3 linked regions of the Coturnix japonica genome follow. The protein of the gene in region 2 purifies or fractionates together with the protein of the main gene of each other region. This does not show direct contact. Links are inferred from orthologs where the notes say so. Each region holds a gene or a part of one and is shown on either strand. Other genes may lie near its edges.

Region 1 (4,309 bases), on a different chromosome or scaffold from region 2:
TAAGTATGTTCAATTAGTAGCAGTGCCCACAGCCCAAAACTGTATTCCATGTAATTTGAGTTAATGTCCCCTGTGACCAATTAGGCAGATGAAGATCAAGTGGATTCAGGCTGTAATTCTCCTTGTGCTGCCTTATTATGGCAATGCTGACCAGTGTCTTTAGTAGGCTAAGTTTGGAGCAAAGGGCTTTCTTCTTCAGGCCAGACTTTGTCACAAGTGACTTGATAACTGACTGTGCTTGAGCAGATACAGGTACTTAGTTTCTCTGATCATTAAGAAACAGTTACTGATTAGAGAAACAAACTAGCTGAGGGAAAGTGGTCATCCATCTGTAACTTAAGCAAATCCTTGAAGCAAGTTACCTTGCTTGTTCGCTGTTACACTGTAGAAATAAAGAGTATAAGCTTCTGTTCCTGCTTGTGAGGTTTGCTTCATTTCCTCACATTTCAGTAGTGTTTATGGATAACTTGTGCTTCAGTGCTTTTGAATGGTGCATTTACTGCATGGCCCTTCAGTTTTGGGGTGATTTTATTGCTTTCTGGGGATGAGGGGTTGGGGGGGATTTTTGTTGTGTTATGGCATTGGTGTTATTAGTTTATATGGAAATGCAGAATGGAAAGGTGCTGTAAGCTTTGGTTTGGATCTAAAGAAGTCCTGACAACCGTACATCACTCTATTCATTTTCAATGGAAGTAACACAAATGTTCTGTGCTAATGACTTAAGAACTGTACATTTCACTGGAGATAAGTATAAAGTATAAAGATAAGTATAAACTGCTTTATTGCAGCATTTCATGCAGAGCTTTTGGGGTTGGAAGTTCAACATGATCATGCAGGTTGCCTTAGCATAACGTGTGCTTGCTACACTAATATGGCCATTTCTTCTAGGTTATGTTATCTACCGTGTCCGTGTTCGCCGTGGTGGTCGTAAGCGCCCTGTCCCAAAAGGTGCAACCTATGGGAAGCCTGTGCATCATGGTGTCAACCAGCTGAAGTTTGCCCGCAGCCTTCAGTCTGTAGCAGAGGTGATTGTTTTGGTTATTGCTCAGAAAATTAGGGTTGTGGGGGTCACACTTAGTCTGTAAAAGTGGAAAATGCTTAGTGACCAAACAGGAACCATTCTGTAACGTATTAGGTAAAGGATCTCAAATATTGATGGCAGGAGAGCACCAGAATGTCTTGAAAAGCTGCATTGAGACAGATGAGAGAAACCTATCACACTCTGCACGTATGGGATGTGGAAAGAGCCACTGAGGTGGTTTGTTGAAGTTTGTGGGGTTATGCTTCTTTCAGAAGCATGCTGCAATACTTAGAATGAAAGACATACGACTGACAAAGGCCTGAAAAACAAAAGGCTGGGGATGAGAAATTGGAATTCAAACATGCTGAACTGTGTGGCTGCAGTCACCGCTAAATCCCGCCTTTGTGTTCCCCACCATGTTGTGTGTGTTACCAGCTTCAGACAATGAGCCCTTCACAAAACACGGCTAAATTCCTGTCTTAAAGACTGTAGCACCTGTTTGTATAGTAGGAGTGCTGAGCAGAGTACTTAGCTGTATCATACTATCTGAAAACAGCATGACAGAGGTGTATTGAGGTTAAAAATACCTCTGGTAGCTCATAAGCTTGAAGATTGGGAGTTCAGATTGTTAAACTATGTTGCTACCTGCTAAAATAAAGTGGAGACTTTCCATCCAGGAGAAGTTTTAAGTTTCCTAACGCCGCAGTTGTACATCTTGTGTAGGGAAAGAAACCAAAATGCAAAACTTAGAGCAGTACTGATCAGTGCTGCCCGAAAGAGGCATTGTAAAGGCAATGAGCATTCCCAGTTGTCGCACATCTCTAAGCAGATGGCTTCTCCCAGAACCAAAAAGCAAGTGTCAGGAAGTTGCATACAGGGTGGTTATAGCATTCATTTCCTTTTTATTTATTAACAAAAGTGATGAGTTTTAATTAAAAAAGCTCTATTTGAGTACTCACGGTGTGTTCTTCATATATGCTATTCCCAAATGTCTGGTGACTGCTTGGTTGTGGTGACAGCTCATGGAAAGAGGTGGTTGGCCCTTTGATTTTAGTCCGAACAGTTGTGAATCTGGCTTGTGTTCTCCTAGAAAGCTTCTATTCTTCAGGTAAAACTGTTCTAGAAGTGCCAAACCTTGATTGTCACTGTCATCCCCACATAGAAGCTAGCTAATGGGGATTGGTCGCCATCAAATTGGTTCAAAATGTGTCACTGGACTTACTCGCTAGAAGAACTTGAAGAAAATACATGATATATGTGAGAAGTTGTAAGCTGATGGACATCTGTAGTAATAGGTTTGGGATAGAGGCTGGATGGATCTATAGTGATGATGATAATGTCCTAGGGTGAAAAAGGAGGTCATGACAGGAGAGGCAGATGGAGTTCTCTAACTCAACTTATTTCCTGCTTTGCATCCTAAACAAGGGCTGTTTCTTTCCAACCACAGCCAAGAATCAGAATAGCGTGTTGAAGGCTGCATACAGCAACTGTTCCTCTTTTTTTCTTATCAATTTGGGCTTTTGTCCTGCAGGCCTTTTTCCTTTATAATTTTGGACATTCAGATTGATTGGTCTTTTGCAATTTTCACAAGTGTTCCACGGCCCCAAGTGTGGCTCATGATCTTAAGTTTTAACTCTGCATTTACTCCCGGGGCTTTTCTGCATGTGGAAGAGTTCTTTATTTTGCCAACCAAATGCATTCATTTAAAACCCGTCTCACTTAAGAATCCCAGCAGCCTTTTTTCAATACAGCGTTTCTTTAAACGTGACTTTTTCAGGTGTTTTTGTTGCCAGAGACCGTGTGGTTTTTATCAGGAGAGCGTTTAGCTCAGAGCAAATGAAAAATGCTAGAAAACAAAATAAGGTTTTGGTTATATATATCGTTCTGCATGAAGAGCACCCCTGTTTCCATGCTTGTACAGCATTTGGCATTTCTTTTTCTCCTGTAGGAGCGTGCTGGCCGTCACTGTGGGGCTCTGAGAGTCTTGAACTCCTACTGGGTGGGTGAAGATTCCACTTACAAGTTTTTTGAGGTGATCCTGATCGATCCCTTCCACAAGGCCATCCGGCGCAACCCCGATACCCAATGGATCACCAAGCCCGTTCACAAGCACAGAGAGATGCGTGGGCTGACGTCAGCCGGGAGGAAGAGCCGCGGTCTTGGCAAGGGCCACAAATTCCATCACACCATTGGTGGCTCACGTCGTGCCGCCTGGAGAAGGCGTAATACCCTGCAGCTGCACCGCTACCGCTAATTCTTGTAAACACAACGGTCTAATAAAGCTGATGTGGGTTGTCAAATTGAACCAGTGCTTCTGCTTCCTGCTTTACGTGGAGAAGTGTGGGATTCTCCAGAATTTCACTTTGTTTTTATATATTGAAAAGTGTTTTGAAAATGTGATGTGGTTTTTGAGAGGATTCTAGACCACAAACGTTGACTGTGATGGGCTTTGCTTTTGGTGAGACTGAAAAGATAGGTGCAGTGTGAGTTGAAATCCTGATCCACATCCCTGTTCTGGTGGCTTGAGTGTATTTCTTCACTGTCCCTTGAAGGGTGTTACTGTGTCCTGTGTTAAAACTGAAGGCCTGCTTTGATCGTGTGCAATGAGATGTAAACTAGAAGTGCTGGTTTCTTTTTTATAGATGATTAAATATTAATGACGATTAGATCTTACTAGTTCTGTTTGGGTTTGCTTTTTTGTCTTCAGCATGAAACCAGGTCTTGAGCCCGTTTGCCTGCAAACGTAGGCTAAACCAACAAAGCACTGAGTGAAATGGAGCAGCTCACTGTTCATTGAGGCCGTGTTTTACTATTTACTGTAACAAAGGTATTCATTTGCACAGTATTCCAGGACACTCACCTTGTATTGGAGACAGTGTCTTAGCTCTGACTTGTGGTATAAAAAACAATATTTTTCTGCAGGAGCTGCATTTAGTTTGCCTCTGCATGGGTAGGTGATAGAAACAATTGCATTGGGATGATGTTTAAAGAATATTTTCTATGAAAATACAATCACCAAGGTTGGGGGAAAGACCCACAGCATCACCCAGTCCAACCATCCACCCGTCACCAATAGTTCTCACTAAACCATGTCCCTCAACACAACGTCCAGATGTTCCTTGAACACCTGTGGGGTTGGTGACTCCAGAACCTCCCCAGGCAGCCCATTCCACTGCCTGACCACTTTCTTTCAGGCTGCCATTGGGTAGTGATGGGAGTCAGGCTTGATAGAAGACCAGAGGAGCTTGTAATTTGCCAGGGTTTCAAACTGGGTTGTGTGGAAAAGAA
Region 2 (4,815 bases):
CTGCCCAGAGCCCCATTCAGCCTGGCCCTGAACACTTACAGGGATGGGGCATCCACATCTTCCCTGGGCAGCCCGTGCCCCAGCATCTCAACACCCTCTGAGCCAAGAATAGTAAATAATTTCCTCTTAATACCTAATCTCCACACCATCTGCAGCTTCAAAAAAGACTTACAGTCAATCACTTACCTATAGAAAGGTTTATGAAACATGTTCCACTAATGTTAAATCAACACCTGAAAAGACTCTTTCTTTTGTTATTAAGGGAAAGGCTTAGAATAAATAAAGCATTGTCTGCATAATCCTCTTGCAGACGAGAAAAACCAAACATTTCACCTCTAAATGGGGTACTTTTTACAGTAATAAAGCCTAGCATAATAAGAATTCTGCAACTGACAGTGGAGAGTACCAGCAGCCCAGCTCTCATTCGTTCAGTTTGCGCAACAGAAGCAAATCACAAATTAATAAACAATTATCAGTAGTCAGCTGACAGAAAGAAAAGACACCACGTGAATTTCTGCTCTGAAGAAACACATCCATTGGTGTAACCAAGAGATCGGTAATGCTCAGAGTGATTAACTTGATGAAAACTGAGCTGAGAGCTCTACATTTTGATTTGGGAAGTCGTGAGCTTTACCTGTCTTGTCTTTGCTGATGTTTCAATAAAAGGAATTCCGTAACTTCTTGCTAAATCCTGAGCTTGTTTTGTATCTACTGTTCTGGAAGGCAAATCACATTTGTTTCCTACTAGCACCATTGGGACGTCTTCAGAGTCTTTAACTCTTTTTATTTGTTCCCTAAAGAAAAAAAAAAAAAAAGATTTTATTTAACAGATATTGCTAGTTTATACAGTAGATTATGAAACACTAAAACAAATGAAATTATGGCATTTCAGCATCATTCCTTATGTTAACTCAATGCACATTCACTACAAGAAGCTACTAAAAAATAAATACATTGATCAAGTCCTGTCACCACCAAGTTTATTACTTTATTCTGAAAAGGCTGGCATGGTGCACCAAGTGTTTCTATCAGCAGTGCTCAGGAAGCCAAACTGCCACAGCTTCTCATGTCACTACACAATAACTCTCCCCAGGAACAACAGTTAATGTCAGCTCCAGTACAAATCTTACTACTGATCTCCCATACTTTAGGCTTACAATACCCAGTTCATTTGCTGAGATAAAACAGTCAAAAGCCCTCTGCCTGTGCTGTGTTTTTCAGGTTAGGTCAGCATTATAAACTCTGAACCTAGATAAAGGGATTTAAAACTCCAAAAACCGCTGGCCTGGTTCTCTGACAAGAGAAATCTGGTACAGTGTCTTTTCAATGACTAGCTAGAAAATGTTTTCACAATACCATTTAGATGTACTCAAAGAACCTCAAATAACAATCATTTATTTCTTCTTCTCTTATTGTCAATGTTCTCAGTTAGTTATTTAGAAATATTCAGTTTCAGTCTTCAAAGTCACCTGTAGGTATGTGAATGCACAGGAGGAACTCCTGTGTTCAACTCATTGTACAAAGCTAAAACACAGAAGGCCTTCCTGTGCAAGTCTACAAATGCTTCTTTATTAAACTTTAAATGCGAACTTCACACTCCTTTTTGCCTTATGTCAACACCTTATCGTTTCCTTCCTCCTCTACAGACAGAGGAAACTCCTTTCTAACAATCTGGTTAGGCAATGAAGAGAGATGTAGGGTGTTTTACTGAGAGCAATAGATAATTTAAATTTGTCATCTCTACTTGAGAACTCCAAACTACCAGCTTAGCTACTCAAATCAACAACTGCACTACCAAATGAACTGAACTGCAAGCTATGCAATCTAGACAGCTACAGCCCTCACTCTGATTACCTCAAACTGTCGTGCCATCTCACCTTAAGTGAAGAACAGCAACTTCAATTTGTTACTAAATGGGCAACTTCTGTTTAAAAGTAAATGTTGAGTTTGTGGTTACTACTTACAGCAAGTCACACCTATGCTGTACAGCAACATAAACTCAACAGCATGTTAAATACCTGTATGGGAAATCACAGCTTGAACCTCTGATTAATCAGCTGAGGCAAGTGTTGGGTCAGCTGTGGGAGCACAGGTGAGAGTAATGTAGCTGTGCTCCCGGAAGGGGTGGACTTCAACTCCACCTCCTCTGAGACCTCATTTAAGGGCTGACCACCACTGAGGCAGCATCTCTTGGAGATTGCTCCCCAGTTGAGACTGCCTCAGCTTTCTGGTCAAGGCATCGACATTGGTGAGTTTTCCTTTGCTAATAACCTTTGACTATTTACCACCATCTTGGTTAACATCTTTATATTAGCCACCCTTACAATACCTAACTTGGAATAGCTTAACTTATACATTTGGGACCAACCTTAAACTTATGCTGCTAAAAAATCAGTGATCTTCGGTGGGATTTGTCTTCTAACACAACTCCCAAGCAGAATTCAATGGAATATGAAGCTATAACTGGCCTGGTACTGCTAATAAAAGAAGAGACTGCTTCTATTTCCATTTTAGTGTAGCTGACATCAAGCAAGGATGAGTTTCAATTGTTAACAAACTCAATCAGCCATCGTCCTGGATGTGAAATTTCATATGGGTATCCTTGTTATTTTTTTCGTTAAGGCATCAGAGCCCACACGTTACCATTTAAGTACCCACTTATGTATCCAAATACCCTTGCATGGGTATTTTCCTCCTCTTCCCCCAGAGAAGAAAGGCTAACAACATATCGTCTGTGAAATTTAAACTGTGTAAGTTTCCCATCTATAACCCTCAATTTTATTTATGGGATAAGCAGCATTTACCTTCAGATAATTTCTTACTATATAAATAATACCAACTAAGGCAGTCACGCTCATCCATAACAGAAGAGCTTTTAAATACGTTGCCTGCTCCGCTCCAGAATGAAACAACAGATTTTCAATTACCGAAAATTACAGACTTCCAAATGGACAAGTAAATTGCAGCATCGCTAATTTGCAAATTTCCCTTTAAGTGCTATTTCATGAGAGGTCAATTCATTATCCAGTGTAAAAGCAAGCAACCCACGCAGCTAATACAAGAGTTAGTCATTTATCTTTCAGCATACACACCTATAATGGTGAATATCTTCAAAAGATTTTGTATTGTTTATAGCAAATACACACAGAAAGCCTTCTCCTGTTCTCATATATTGGTCCCTCATTGCGCTATATTCTTCTTGACCTGCTGTATCAAGAATATCCAAGAGACAGGTTTCCCCATCAATTACTACTTGCTTTCTGTAGGAATCCTAAAGAAAAGAGAGAGAAAAAACAACGCGGTTAAATATAAACAAAGTTTATAAGCATAGATAGCTCTAAAGATATTAAAGTTGTTTACTGGAAGTTGATCATAACTGAAAACACTGATAATCCAATTTTACAGATAGGCAAATGACAGCGTAAGAACATTGGTAGTCCATATTTATGTTTAGATATTAACCCAGAAATGGAAATACCACTGGAAGGACTTGTTCTGATCTGCATCCTGCATCTTCAGCAAGCAGTACTGCACGCGTATGCACGTGTGCACATACACACTGCACTCTTATTTCTCATCTTGTACAAAGGGACACAAAGTACAAATTGGATCCAGATCAAAAGCCTCTCCCTTTGTTCATATGAGAATTGAAGAAAGCTCTAATCCTGATTTTAAACGATTTAACTATAAGCTTACTCCATTTACAACAAAAGAAAACTAAGTGCAATGTGACCTTCATTCTATGGATGTTAATAAAACCATCATGCCACAGCAATGTGCAAAATAATAGAGAGAGTTCAAAGCAGAACAACTACGTCAAAAATCTACACCTCTGAAAAAGAAGTAAGGCATAAGAAGCCTTCAGAGTTTGAGGCAGAAAAAGCTGTTTTGTATCCCTAAACGGCCGCATATAACGTTTGTTATTAAATTACCAAAACAGTCAATACATTTGAAGTTCAAGTTTTTCATACGAGACACAGCAACACAAAGCACAGAGTCACACAAAAGCCCTGATAGGTTCCGAGAGATGTTGGAACAAATTATTTCAACACCATCAACTCAAAAGTTTTCAGGTCACTGATTCAAGTAGCTGAAGTCTGTACAGAGTCCCAGGCAGCTAAAAGTGATGCCTTTCAGTGCTAGGCCTCTGTAAGCACATAATTATAGCAATAACAGGAGCACGTGAGCGTTATTTTTTCATCCAAACCTCTATTTTCTATAAGCACTCTCTATTATGATAAGTCCATGTCAATAAACTTTAAAAATGTCACTGAGTACCACAAATTATTCTCAGTAAACAATACTCATAGCAAATAAAAGGTATCAAGAGGAAATCACGGCATAACCTTCCAGATCCTTCAGCTAGAGATTAACATAATATTGCTTGTGTTCTTGTTATATAAGCAGGATCTTTTTAATACCCTCCAAAAAACAAAACTAAGCTACTGTGAGAGGAGCTGAAACTGCAATTCTAGCCAGTTTCAAGATGAATTCTGAACGACCTTCCTTCTTTTGCATCGATTTTAAGCACTATGTACTGTGCACTTTATTAATTTGGTGGTTTGGTTTGTTTTTTAACACTGAAGTTTGTTCTTTCTTGTTGCCAATCCTAAAATCAAGCAGGAGACAGCTGTATAGAATCAGGATGTTCAAGTAAACAAGTGCCGGGCTCTCATTTATCTCAAGCCTGGATGATGGTAATTCAACAATATCAGGTAAAACGATACTGATTTCTCACCCTTAAGATACAAGTTCAGCTCCAGTGTGATTCTGGAAGTATTTATGTCACAGAAGTACAAACTGAGTGTTTAAGTG
Region 3 (4,848 bases), on a different chromosome or scaffold from region 2:
GTGCTCCACATTGCCACGTTGTGCAATCATCTTCAAAGCAGCACTTCGCCCAGAAGACAAGGTGCACGTGTTTAATTTCTAACTACCATCAGCGTGTGCTGTGGAACCATCTCGCTTCATGTAATATCGTTGTACATTAACACTGCAATGAGAGCACGGCTGCGGACTCGGGAAGAATGCAAGGAAACACTCGTTAATAGTTTGCACTGAGATTCTTCCCCTAATGAGGAGATGCAAAGTGTCCATGAGCTGCCGTCAGTCTGCTCGTTGTAAGGCAGCACGGCTCTTTTATGAAGGGAGAAAATACAAGTAAATGCAAAAAAAACTAAGAAGGTTCAGCTGGTACAAGTGAGACGTGGCTCAACATCACCTATCTCCTATTCCCACACTGACACGACAGAGTAAAGCTCACAATGACTCAAAGCAACGCGTGCAGCCCGGCCAGGAGGATGCACGGTAACACGGGACGTGCAAACTACGGCCATACATGCACCCACCCACCGTCACAGCTCGCCCCGACCCAAAGCGACGAGCCTTCAGCCAGCACGATACACACAGGAGCGCACTGCGGCAGCAGCCACACGTCTGTGCATCGCTACAACCGCAAAGCGCCCCCGGCCCCGCTGTGCCCGCCGTGCCGGTACGAGCCCCCGCCCGGCTCCCCGCATCCAGCCCGGGGCACCGCACCGCACTCACCCGCACCGCCGAACCACCGGGCTACGCCGCCGCTCTGCGCTTCCGCTTCCGGCCGCCAGCGGGCAGCGATCGCAACGGGAACAGAGCGGTGTGTGTGTGTGATGGCTGCACACAGGGCACGGGTCAGCTCTGCTGTGCTACAGCCGTGCCTGCTGCAGGGCAGGACAAGGCACGAACACAAGGCAAAGCGCCTCGTGGTGCCTGTACAAGTGGGTTTTATGTGTGTAAGTGTGAGGAATGAGCACAACAAATGGTGAGGCCGCTGCTGCGTTGTGTGCTGGTGCTGTGAGCCATGGCAGGCTGCTTGATATGGAGCTGTTCATTGGGACTGTCCGGCCGTGCAGGGTGATCCCGTGTACCTGCCCTGCAGTGACACCTCAGTGCACAGAGCTCGGCTGTGCTATGTTAAGGCAGAGATTGGAGCCACGGCTGCACGGCACCGAGCACACACTGCTGTTAACAGGCCTGACTGAAGCCACACAAACCCCATTCACCTCAATGGCAACCACCAGCCGATCTCATCCTTCCTCAAAACGCAGCCCATCCTCTCCCTCCCTGCTGACTCCTAATAGCAGCGGCTCGGTTCTATTACGGCATTAAAGCCATTTCTTGCTACGATCCATCTGACTCATCCTGCCGTGAGCCGCTTCCAGCCCTACTCCTCCAGCCATTCCATCAGCCATTCCCCCGGCACCGCCCGGCCGCCATCCTTGCGCTGAGCGCTGCCGTTGTGCAGCCCCGCACGGCGCGGGGCAGATAAGGCGGCTATGGGGCGCTATGGGGCGGTATGGGGCAGCAGCCCGTAGTGCCGAGTCATGCTGGCTGTGCGGGCGGCCCGGGAAGGCGGGACGGGCGGCACGGCCCGGGAGCGGCGCGCCCGTGTCCTCGCGAGATCGGCCCCGCTATAAAGGGGCGGCGCGGCGGGGGCTGCGGCACTTGGCGGCTTCCTGCTGGAGTGCGGGGACAGGAGCTTTGTGTGAGTGGGGGCGGGGGGCGCTGGGGGGCAGGGGGGTGTTGGGGCTGCACGTTGCTTTCGCTCACGGCTTTGCTCCCATTTCTCTTTTCCCTGTCCGCGGGGAGGTGTAGAGCCAAGCCCGCTCCGAGCAGCGCTGTGCAGGGATTGCTGCTTTCTGCAGCCGTTTGGCGTGTATTGTTTTCCTTTTTCCTCCCTTAAAAGAAAGGGTTATGGGGCGGATTGGGTCTGGGCACGGGCTGCCCGTGAGGAGGAGCGGCGGGGGCCGCTCGGAGCGGGGCTGGACTGAGCCGGGCCTCGGGCGGTGCGGCGCGGTCCGGCTGCGGGCCGCTGTGCGGTTCGTGCCTGCCCGGCTGGGGGCAGCCCCGCCCTCCTCGCACCGCAGCTCGGTCCGTTCACTGTAGCGATGTAGGGCTGGGGAAGGGTAGGCTCGCTCCCGTCGGAGTGTCCTAAAGGTATGAATTTCCAGTTGGAATGCAGGCACGGCTTGTTGTAATTGTAGCGAGGCCGCGAGCAGCCCAGGCGCTCTGAGCTGGTGCAGCTGCGTTTCGCTTGCAGCGCCGTGCTTCTGCTTCTAGAACGGCAGGACCTCGCACGCAGTCTGTGCTCCGCTCCTCGGCGGATTAGGAAGCGCTGTGGCTGTAAATCCAAGCAGAGCACGCGGCTGTGTGCTGCTGTGCCCGGCAGAGCAGGCCGTGCCAAATTGCAGCTGCTTTCTTCACTGCACTTGCTGCAGTTCTTGCAGTAGGAGACCACTGAGTCCTATAACCTGATGTTAAAGGCTTGCAGGTTGTTTGAAAAGGGACAATAATTCCTTCATCAGAAAGGGGAAGTATCAGAGAGCCGTCTGACTGCTTAGATTTGACCCTGGTATTACGCTCCAGGGAAGCGCTGATGGAACAAATATAGGTCTGGCGTAGTACTGAGCAAAGGGATGACCTTGAGCTTGAGTACAGGGAAAGAATGTAATTCCGTGGTAAAACACGGGGTCATGTACTGCAGATAAAGCAGGTATTGCTTAAAAGACAGAACTTTCTGGCTGAGGGTCTGACAAATGCTGTGCAATGGCAGTTTCAGACTTGCATCTGCATTTGTGGCTCCATGAAGTGATCGGAAGGATTATTAATGTCATCATTCTAGACCGTTTCAGTATCCTCTTATGAATGCCTTGCAGTTCTGGCTACCTTGGTTCATAAGATTCTGTCCTGGTTCGCTGCATTTGAAGGTGAACCCTTCGGATGAGCTGGGAATGTGGAACTCTTTGTACGAGGCAGTTAATTGTGCTGAGTAAGGTGGCATTTTGCAAAGCAAAATGAAGGAGGGGGTTACTGTCCATCCTCTCTGCATGTGAGAGGAGCCTTCAAATGTTAAACTCCTCATAGAAGCTCTAAATTGATCAGTTTAACTTGAATAGAAATTCTTATGACATGTGAGGTAATTCTCCTGGAGCTGTGGCAAGGGAGAAGGAGGCAAGAAATGAAGTGCATCTGCCCTGTTCTGGAATGGACTTTGTGCCATGCAAGCAGGGTTTTTAAGGTCTTTGAAACTCAGCTTTCTGTAGCAATATGAGACTCAGTAATACTAACAGCTCAGGGGCTTGTGTCTCCGTGCCAGATAATTCTTTTGCAGCATGTAAAATGGCTTCAGTGAGATCACTTAAAGACTGAGCTGAGGGAATGAGGTTCATGAAGTTTTGTATTTGAAAGGCAGTGCTCTGCAGGGAACTGGGATTCTGAAGTGCTGCATCTGCACACTGAGCAAAAGTGCTGTACAGAACGTGTCTGCAAAGGACTGGACTTAGGATTGATGGCCAGAAGTAAACTTCTCTTGGCCTCATGCACACTCTTACTCTTTTTCAATAGACTGAAATGCTCAGGGGAACCAGCCTGGCTGCACTGGTTTAAGAGTTTGTGAGCCTGTAGTTGTTAATATGAACTGTAGATCAAAATCACGAGTCTTTTGTTTGTAAATAAAACAAGGCTTCTTTGTTTGCAAGGCTGAAGAGTAGTTATGGAGAGTGTTGGTCTCTTAGAGACTAATCAAACTCTGCTTGGAAATAAGGTTTGAGGTCTTACATTCCTTTGTGAATTTGAACAAGAGTCTCATCATCAGAATTTAGGAAGAAAGACTTAATAGCTCATCCACCTATTGGAACAAAGGCTTAGTGTGGATACAGCTAAAACTCTAGGCAGCTGGCTCGCTTCTAGCCTGTAATGAGCTGTTCCTGGTCAAAGATAACTGTGTCCTTAGGAAACTAACATGCCTTAAAGAATGTGCTTAGTAGTTTCATCTGGATACCTGACTACCCAGGTGATAAGCTTAAAATGAGTTTTGCTCTTAAGCCTTGCTGCCAGATCAAATGCTGATATACTGCCCCATTGATAATTAAACTGATATGATGCTTTGCACCTGGAAGTAAGATGTATTCAAACTATTCAGCTATCTAAACTGCGCTGTTAATTCTTTTCCAGATTAAATCAAGATGTCTTCAGGAAAGGCTTTCATTGGAAAACCAGCCCCTGAGTTTACTGCCACAGCAGTAATGCCAGATGGGCAATTCAAGGATATCAAGCTCTCTGACTATAGAGGTGGGCTTATGTACATCTAATTATGCAAATGCAGTCTCCCCTTGTGCAGGGGATGGGAGGTGGGGAGGGGGAGCATCTAATGAAGCCTTTGGTTTGGTTTCCAAGTAACAGTGACCACTTGACTGTAGTTAATTTACAGTGATTTTGTTCATTGCCAACTGGAATGTGTTTGGGAAGCTGTTGACAGCATGACTGAATGTCCTAATTATGATGATTGTTGGTTATTAGCATGAAATTCCTCTAAAATAGAACAACTAAGTTTTATCCTAGATTCAGGCATTTTGAGTCTGATATAACAGCTTCAAAACAGGTGAAACTACAAGATCTTGTTTATTTGTTGGTGGAAAGTAGAATTCCCTCTAACTAAAGAAGCTTCTTTCTGCTGAAGTACTAGAAAACTATTGTGTCACTCCTTGCAGGCTTGGTACTGCTGTAGAACCTAATGTAAGAGATTAACTGGTGACATTGCTCTTCTAGGGAAATACGTTGTGTTCTTCTTCTACCCTCTGGATTTCACTTTTGTTTGTCCAACTGAAATCATCGCATACAGCGACAGAGCTGATGAATTCAGGAAAATTAACTGTGAAATAA

Evidence for each region.
Region 1: the proteins of KRAS (region 2) and RPL15 purify together in Homo sapiens (affinity purification with mass spectrometry; 3 studies listed by BioGRID and IntAct, with this or other methods). This does not show direct contact. The link is inferred for Coturnix japonica from reciprocal best matches to the Homo sapiens genes KRAS and RPL15.
Region 3: the proteins of KRAS (region 2) and PRDX1 purify together in Homo sapiens (affinity purification with mass spectrometry; 3 studies listed by BioGRID and IntAct, with this or other methods). This does not show direct contact. The link is inferred for Coturnix japonica from reciprocal best matches to the Homo sapiens genes KRAS and PRDX1.

The regions. Positions count from the first base shown.
Region 1 is NC_029517.1:34,137,770-34,142,078, forward strand, and holds the end of RPL15 (60S ribosomal protein L15), read left to right. Parts: intron 1-888; coding exon 889-1,025; intron 1,026-2,969; coding exon 2,970-3,275; 3' UTR 3,276-3,326; downstream 3,327-4,309.
Region 2 is NC_029516.1:61,761,837-61,766,651, forward strand, and holds part of KRAS (GTPase KRas), read right to left. Parts: intron 3,272-4,815; coding exon 3,093-3,271; intron 795-3,092; coding exon 635-794; intron 1-634. UniProt on the Homo sapiens protein: Ras proteins bind GDP/GTP and possess intrinsic GTPase activity. Plays an important role in the regulation of cell proliferation.
Region 3 is NC_029523.1:18,752,978-18,757,825, reverse strand, and holds the start of PRDX1 (peroxiredoxin-1), read left to right. Parts: upstream 1-1,540; 5' UTR 1,541-1,672; intron 1,673-4,140; 5' UTR 4,141-4,151; coding exon 4,152-4,257; intron 4,258-4,734; coding exon 4,735-4,848. UniProt on the Homo sapiens protein: Thiol-specific peroxidase that catalyzes the reduction of hydrogen peroxide and organic hydroperoxides to water and alcohols, respectively.